Linked DNA regions of Macaca mulatta. The protein of the gene in region 2 interacts with the protein of the main gene of each other region in a biochemical or structural test. Links are inferred from orthologs where the notes say so. Each region holds a gene or a part of one and is shown on either strand. Other genes may lie near its edges.

The links.
Region 1: the proteins of PCNA (region 2) and POLH form a complex in vitro, tested with the Homo sapiens proteins (7 studies listed by BioGRID). The link is inferred for Macaca mulatta from reciprocal best matches to the Homo sapiens genes PCNA and POLH.

Annotation. Positions count from the first base shown.
Region 1 is NC_133409.1:138,541,866-138,545,610, forward strand, and holds the start of POLH (DNA polymerase eta), read right to left. Parts: upstream 2,305-3,745; 5' UTR 2,049-2,304; intron 1-2,048. Other genes in the region: XPO5 (exportin-5), read left to right, coding at 2,638-2,742. UniProt on the Homo sapiens protein: DNA polymerase specifically involved in the DNA repair by translesion synthesis (TLS). Due to low processivity on both damaged and normal DNA, cooperates with the heterotetrameric (REV3L, REV7, POLD2 and POLD3) POLZ complex for complete bypass of DNA lesions.
Region 2 is NC_133415.1:78,833,705-78,837,449, reverse strand, and holds the start of PCNA (proliferating cell nuclear antigen), read right to left. Parts: upstream 2,624-3,745; 5' UTR 2,432-2,623; coding exon 2,211-2,431; intron 1,499-2,210; coding exon 1,401-1,498; intron 1,310-1,400; coding exon 1,242-1,309; intron 1-1,241. UniProt on the Homo sapiens protein: Auxiliary protein of DNA polymerase delta and epsilon, is involved in the control of eukaryotic DNA replication by increasing the polymerase's processibility during elongation of the leading strand.

The DNA of each region.
Region 1 (3,745 bases), on a different chromosome or scaffold from region 2:
CTAACTTAATCGGTATGGGTATGACCTGGGCATGGGTTTTTTTTTTTTTCTTTTGTTGTTGTTTCTGAGATAGAGTTTTGCTCTTGTTGCACAGGTGGGAGTGCAATGGCACAGTCTCGGCTCACTGCAACCTCTGTCTCCCGGGTTCAAGTGATTCTCATGCCTCAGTTTCCCAAGAAGCTGAGACTACAGGCGCATGCCACCACGCCCGGTTAATTTTTGTATTTTGAGTAGAGACCGGGTTTCACAATGTTGGCCAGGCTGGTCTCGAACTCCTGACCTCAGAAGATCCACCCACCTCGGCCTCCCAAAGTGCCGGGATTACAGGCATGAGCCACTGCGCTCAGCCTGGCATGGGGATTTTTGTTTTGTTTTTTTTTTTTTCCTAGACATAGTCTCGGTCTGTCACCCAGGCTGGAGTGCAGTGGCGAGATCTCAGCTCACTGCAACCTCCACCTCCCAGATTCAAGCGATTCCTCTGCCTCAGCCTCCCCAGTAGCGGGGACTACATGCGCGTGCCACCACGCCCGGCTAATTTTTTGTATTTTTAGTAGAGACAGGGTTTCACCGTGTTAAGTGAAATGGTCTCGATCAGGATGGTCTCTATCTCCTGACCTAGTGATCCGCCCGACTCTGCCCCCCAAAGTGCTGGGATTACAGGCGTGAGCCACCGCGACCGGACGGAGATTTTTAAAAGCTCTCCAGGTAATTCCAATATGCAGCAGTTTGGGAGCCAAGACCTACATAAGACAATCGAAACACCAGCAATCCATGATTTAAATACGAGAAACACAGGTTATACAGTTGAGTGAGCACCCAACTGTATTCTAAAAAAAGTATTTCAAAAACTAACAACTACCTTGAAAAAAAACGTCTTACAACTGCAAAGCAGGAGGGTGAGTGGAAAGAAAAATAATTAAAATCACAGTAGTCAAAGCATTAATTCCTTATAAATTCCAATCGACCACTCGCCTAAAACAGGCAGAATGTGATACTTTAAACATTTACCAGTTAAAACCATAACATGCCAGAAATCCCTTTACTTTGAAGGGGCTTTTCTGTAGTACTGGAACAGATTGAGCCAACGAATAGTATTGTCACAAAAAAAACACGGGCTAAGCACCATATTAGGTCCAAATACCAGAAGTGGAGCAGGAATAGGAAGCGGTGATTTAAGTTCAGCAAACCATTTACTAAGCACACAATCACAAAAACAGACATGCAGACTTTAACAGATAATAAAGCTTTTGAGGTTTTCCGTTTATGTATTTACTCGAGAAAGCAAGAGCTTTATTTATTTATTTTTGAGACGGAGTTTCGCTCTGTCGCCCGGGCTGGAGTGCAATGGCTCCATCTCGTCTCACTGAAACCTCCGCCTCCCGGGTTGAAGCGATTCTCCCATCTCAACCTCCCGAGTAGCTGGGGTTACAGGCGCGCGACGCCACGCCTGTATAAAAATACTAAAAATGCAAAAATAATTTTTGTATTTTTAATAGAGATGGCGTTTCATCATGTTGGCGAAACTCCAGGCTGGTCTCGAACTCCTGACCTGGGTGATCTGCCCGCCTCGGCCTCCCAAAGTGCTGGGATTACAGGCGTTAGCCACCGCGACCGGCCAAGAGCTTTATAAAGATGGAAAACGAAGCAGACTTTCTGCCCAAGCCATGCTTTTGGATAAGGATTACACTACTTTGAAATCTTACGTATAGCACTTGGCCAACTATCAAACTGCACAAACCTTCACTAATTGCAATTATTCCCTTTAACATCTCGAGTTACCCCAATCCGCACAAAACAAGTTTAGTGCCCACCAGGTAATAATACATTCAGGAAAATAATTCCAAGACAGAGGTTTAAGAACTACAGAGAAAAACATACTTTTTTCTACAAGAAAAATCTTAGAGGACAGTACCAGGGCCTTATCTCTGTTAGCATGATTTATATTTCACGTAACGTTGGCCCAGTCACTGCTACATTATAAAACCAATAGCCAAGGCAACATAGAAAGTCTGAACACATTGACAGCGAACGGTTCTAAATTTTCTTACCAAGGTAACAAACACCTGGCAAAACTGCCAGCAGCGGGTGCCGCAAATGCTGGGCTCGGGGTCCACTGGAAGGAAAACGGAAGGGCTCTTGAATATCTTTTCGCCTTTCTGGGAGCAGGCCAGTGAGTTTCGAGAGAGATTTATTCGCTGTGACGACGGAGAAACCGAGAAGGGGTCGTAAAGCAGCTTGCCCGGGCAACCGCCCCCAGCAGCAAAAAGCCGAGAGCGTCACGCCCAGCTACGAAGCTGCCAGACTGAGGTCAGACAGCGCGCGCGCTATGAAGGGCCGTTGACGCGGCTGCGCACCGCGGCCCTTCCGCTTCCCGACCCGCCCATCCAGGCTCAACCTTCACCCGGGAGCCGCCACTTCCGCGGGCGCGTGCGCAGTGGCGGGCCGGGCGCGTGCGCAGCGCCGGCATCTTCCCAGCGCGAGCTGGTGCTCACGCTCCTCCTCCAGTTTCCCACCCCCGCTTGCCAGCAGCGGCCCGGTACCAACGGGTGGTCTCGCCGAGGGAGCTGTCGTGCCTCGTGGTCCCGGGACTGCAGTGGTGTGCGCTCTCGGCGCGTGGCGCTAGGCGTGGCGCTAGGCATGGCGATGGATCAAGTAAACGCGCTGTGCGAGCAGCTGGTGAAAGCGGTGACGGTCATGATGGACCCCAACTCCACCCAGCGGTACCGGCTGGAAGCCCTCAAGGTAGCTGGGATCCTGGCGTCCTGGGGCGATCCCGACACTCTCTCCCAGCCCCAGCAGCTCCGGTGCCGCCTGTAACTGGGGTAGTCTCCCGCCCACGCGGCCCCTGGACCTCCTTTTCCAACTCTTCGGGACCTTCCCTTCGCGGCCCTCCGCGCCTCTCCCAAACCCCCGCCTTCTCTACTCGCCGTTCCTGTCCTTTGCCTGGGACACTACGGTCCCTAGCTGCTTCTCATCTCGCCGCTGCTTCCCACAGCCTCTCCTCCCCCTGTCCTCTCTTTGCACTCTTGTTCGCAACACGACCCTCGCCCATTTTCGTTCCCCAAACCCGACATCCCCTCGCCTTCCCGAGGCGCACGTGTAGATCCCGCCCCCAACACTAGCTTCATTCTTTATGGTCTCCCTTGCACTAAACGTTTTCTTGCTGGCTCACTCCTCTGACCCGAACTGACCGAGCTCCAGCCCCTCTAGTACCCTTATGTTTATATCCTTTAACATCTCTCGCTAACTTTCGTTTGTGTCTTGGACATTTTCTGAGGAAATTCTCGCACCCCTACTTCTCCCATGTTTTTGAATGTGATATTTTTAGGCTATTTTGCGCAAAGATAATTTCTACCACTTACTTTGCATTTTAACAAGGGCACTTTGGTTTCCTGAAAGTAGTTTGCTTGAGACCCGAATGCTCTGCTCTTGGGACTGACGTATGTTGCAGTTTGAGGGTCCTAATACAATTCAAGCTTACTTACCCACAAAACAACGTGTGTGGGCTGTGAGAAATGGCCATTTAGGAGAAAATACTTGTGCTGTACATTTTTAAAGTGATGTTAACTTCAAAAAAGAGAGTGACCACCACTTGGAGGAAATGTTACAATACGTGTATGTATGCCACAGGGTTTGGAGTCAGAAACAGTTGGCTTCTATTAGTTTGGTTTTTATTATTTATATATATATATATATATATATATATTTTTTTTTTTTTTTTTTTTTGAGACGGAGTCTCGCTCTG
Region 2 (3,745 bases):
GTTAGAAATTTAATGATTTGGCACCCTCACTTTCTTAAAAGGCAACATCTAAACAACTCAGAATCAAGATTTTCTGATTACTGACTCGTGTAATTTCTTAACAAACTCCACTCAAAAAAAATAAATGGCTATTAAATGCACTGCCCAGGGAACAAGCGCCTCCTCCTCCTCATCCTCCAGGGATAAAGTAAGAGAACATTAGAGTATGCCACAGAAATGATGACGGCGCAAGCAGGTCTAACTATTTTCTAAAAGAAAACGAGAGAATATGATATTAGGCATTTTCAACATTCCAACATTTCTTCTCTCCTTTGGTGTTTATAAACCTAACCTGGATACATTTCTTCTAAGATAGCTTTCAAACCCACTTAACAAAAATCAAGCATCGGGCCGGGCGCGGTGGCTCAAGCCTGTAATCCCAGCACTTTGGAAGGCCGAGACAGGCGGATCACAAGGTCAGGAGATCGAGACCATCCTGGCTAACCTGGTGAAACCCCGTCTCTACTAAAAAATACAAAAAAAAAAAAAAAAAAAAAAAAAAAAAAACTAGCCGGGCGAGGTGGTGGGCGCCTGTAGTCCCAGCTACTCGGGAAGCTGAGGCAGGAGAATGGCGTAAATCTGGGTGGCAGAGCTTGCAGTGAGCTGAGATCCGGCCACAGCACTCCAGCCTGGGCGACAGAGCGAGACTCCGCCTCAAAAACAAAACAAAACAAAACAAAACCAACCATCCTAGAAGGAAGCAAATTTTAAAAGAGGTTCATGGAAATTAATGCAAATAGACAACTGGCAGTAAACAATAAATTTAACCAGTGAGTTTTAGACTTGTGGTAAACAACTATCCAAATACTAAAATCTCTTTAAAACATGCACCAGTAGATATGTTTCTAGAAAAAGTTCTGTTATGAAGTAGGCTTAAATTATATTAACTTATCTTGACGGAGGAGGATCATTGAGGCCAGGAGTTCCAGACCAGCCTGGGCAAGACTGCCCCCACACCCACACACAAAAATAAAAAAATTAGCCAGGCGTGGTGGGACAGATCTGTAGTCCTTCCTAGCCACTTAGGAGACTAAGTGGATTGCTTGAGCCCAGGAGTCCCAGGTTACAGTGAGCTATATGGCACCACTGCACTCCAGCCTGGGGAAAAGAGGAAGACCCTGTCTGTAAAAATAAACAACATTCTATGATATAACTATCATGCCTGTGTACAGCAGTCGCTACAATCAGAAACTGATACTCACTGGAATTCCAAGTTGTTCAACATCCAAATCCATCAACTTCATTTCATAGTCTGAAACTTTCTCCTGGTCTACCAAAAAAAAGCAAATGCTGTTGAGAAACACTGGCACAGAGTTTTGATCTTCTGTAGCTTCATAACTCAGTAAAAAGGTACGACTTACTGGGTGCTTCAAATACTAGCGCCAAGGTATCCGCATTATCTTCAGCCCTTAGTGTAATGATATCTTCATTGCCGGCGCATTTTAGTATTTTGGACATACTAGAAGACAGGAGACACATGGTTTAAAATCAACACCATCTACTGAAGGTCTGTATTTCTAATGCAGTTAGAAGGGGTTACCACTCTCACCCATAGGCCGTCTCAGAACTGGTGGAGGGTAATTGCACTGCTGGAGGATGCGAATATTAATGCAGACATTTTGGGATGCATCTGGCAGTATTTATACTAAAATACCACCAGCAGTTTCCCTTCTGGATAGAAACAATCTCCTGCCACTAAGTAGGATGACAGGCTGACACTTTTCTCGCAAGGGCACATTATAAAGCATTTAAAGTCAATCGCGACTGAGCCGGGAGGATCGCCTGAGCCCAGAAGTTGGAGACCAGCCCGGGCCAACACATCGAGACCGTCTCGGAAACAAAAAAGCCACAACTAAAGCGTCCATTCAAGGCCAACAGGATTTAGTGAGCAAAAGCTCTGGAGCAGTGTTCCTGGCACTGCAGAAAAACCAGTCATTTTCCCGCCACCACCCGCTTTGTGACTTTGGCGCGAAAAAGCAGGTTCGCGCAGCAGCCAGCGCGGGCTTTTCCGAACCGCGCGCTCAGCTGGGCCCCACCCCCCTGCATGGCAGGCCAATGAGAAGGTGCGGATGGTCCACGCCAGCCAATGAGGGCTCGGCTCGGAAGCGATCCCGCCAAACCCCGGAGGTGGGGGTGGGCCGGGGCCGGCTTCTCGACGCCGCGAGGCTCACCTGGTGAGGTTCACGCCCATAGCCAGGTTGCGGTCGCAGCGGTAGGTGTCGAAGCCCTCAGACCGCAGGGTGAGCTGCACCAAGGAGACGTGGGACGAGTCCATGCTCTGCAGATTTACGCCGCTGGAGCTAATATCCCAGCAGGCCTCGTTGATGAGGTCCTTGAGGGCCTCCAACACCTTCTTCAGGATGGAGCCCTGGACCAGGCGCGCCTCGAACATGGTGGCGGAGTGGCAGCAACGCGGCTACAGGCAGGCGGGAAGGAGGAAAGTCTAGCCGGTTTCCGCTTCAGGAGCCTCAGAGCGAGCGGGCGAACGTCGTGACGAGAAGCTGAGACCTAGAAACAGAACTACCAGTCTGCTACGCCTGCAACCGTTTAATGCCGCCGCGTCCGCCAGCGCGCGCTCTTACCCTGCGCCGCGTTGCGACGTCACCACGCTGCCCGGCCCACGGCCTGGGCGGGTTAGAATTTAGGGCCAATCGTGCCGATGCTCCCCGCGAGGCCCGCCCCCTAGGACATACATTGGAGGAAGCGGGTGCAGGGCGGGGCAGCGTCCCGCAGGTCTCCCCGCCTCTTCGCCTGACTCCTGAACCTGACCACTGAACAAGTCCGGGCATATGTGGGGATCCGGCCCAGGCCCCGGTTCGTCAAGCCCCAGCTTTATGGTGCCTCCTCAGCCTCCAGCTCCGTGGGTAGAAAGTTTCCAGCCACGAAAGTGAAAGTGAAAAGCAAATCCAGCCTACCGGGAGGAAAAGCCTCCTTGTAGCCTGAAGAGTACAGCTGCTGCAAATATGCACTTTATTTTTCAATTACAAAAGTGATGCGCTCCTAAGTGTCACACCATAAAGAGTTATGTTAAACTTAGCTCCCTCTCACCTCTTAACATTCCACTGCCAGCTCTTATAATCACTCAATCGTTCCTTGTATAAAGCTTTTAAAGCTTTTTTGAAAGTTCGAATACACTTTTTTTTTTCAAAATGCACTCATTCCGTAAACACTTCGAAAAAGTACTTAATAAAGTACATTTAATTTTATGCCACGTACATCTTTTTTATATCAGTACCTCTTTAAAAGATAGCATCACATGTATGTAACTTATCAATCTCCTGTTAATTACAAACACCTTTGAGCACTTAGGCAATTTTGGTGCTATCAACTCCTTGAAGTAATACAGCTGAGTCAAAGAGCGTACACATTTAATTTTTTTTCTTTTCTTTCTTTCTTTTTTTTTGAGATGGAGTCCTGCTCTGTCATTCAGGCTGGAGTGCAGTGGCGCGATCTCGGCTCACTGCAACCTCCGCCTCCCAGGTTCAAATGATTCTCCTGCCTCAGCCTCCCGAGTAGCTGGGATTACAGGCGCCTACCACCGCGCCCGACTAATTTTTTTTTTTTTTTTTTTTAGTAGAGACGGGGTTTCACCATGTTGGCCAGGCTGGTCTCGAACTCCCGACCTCAGGTGATCACCCGCCTCAGCCTCCCAAAGTGCTGGGATTACAGGCATGTGCCACCATGCCCGGCTAAATTTTTGATAAAT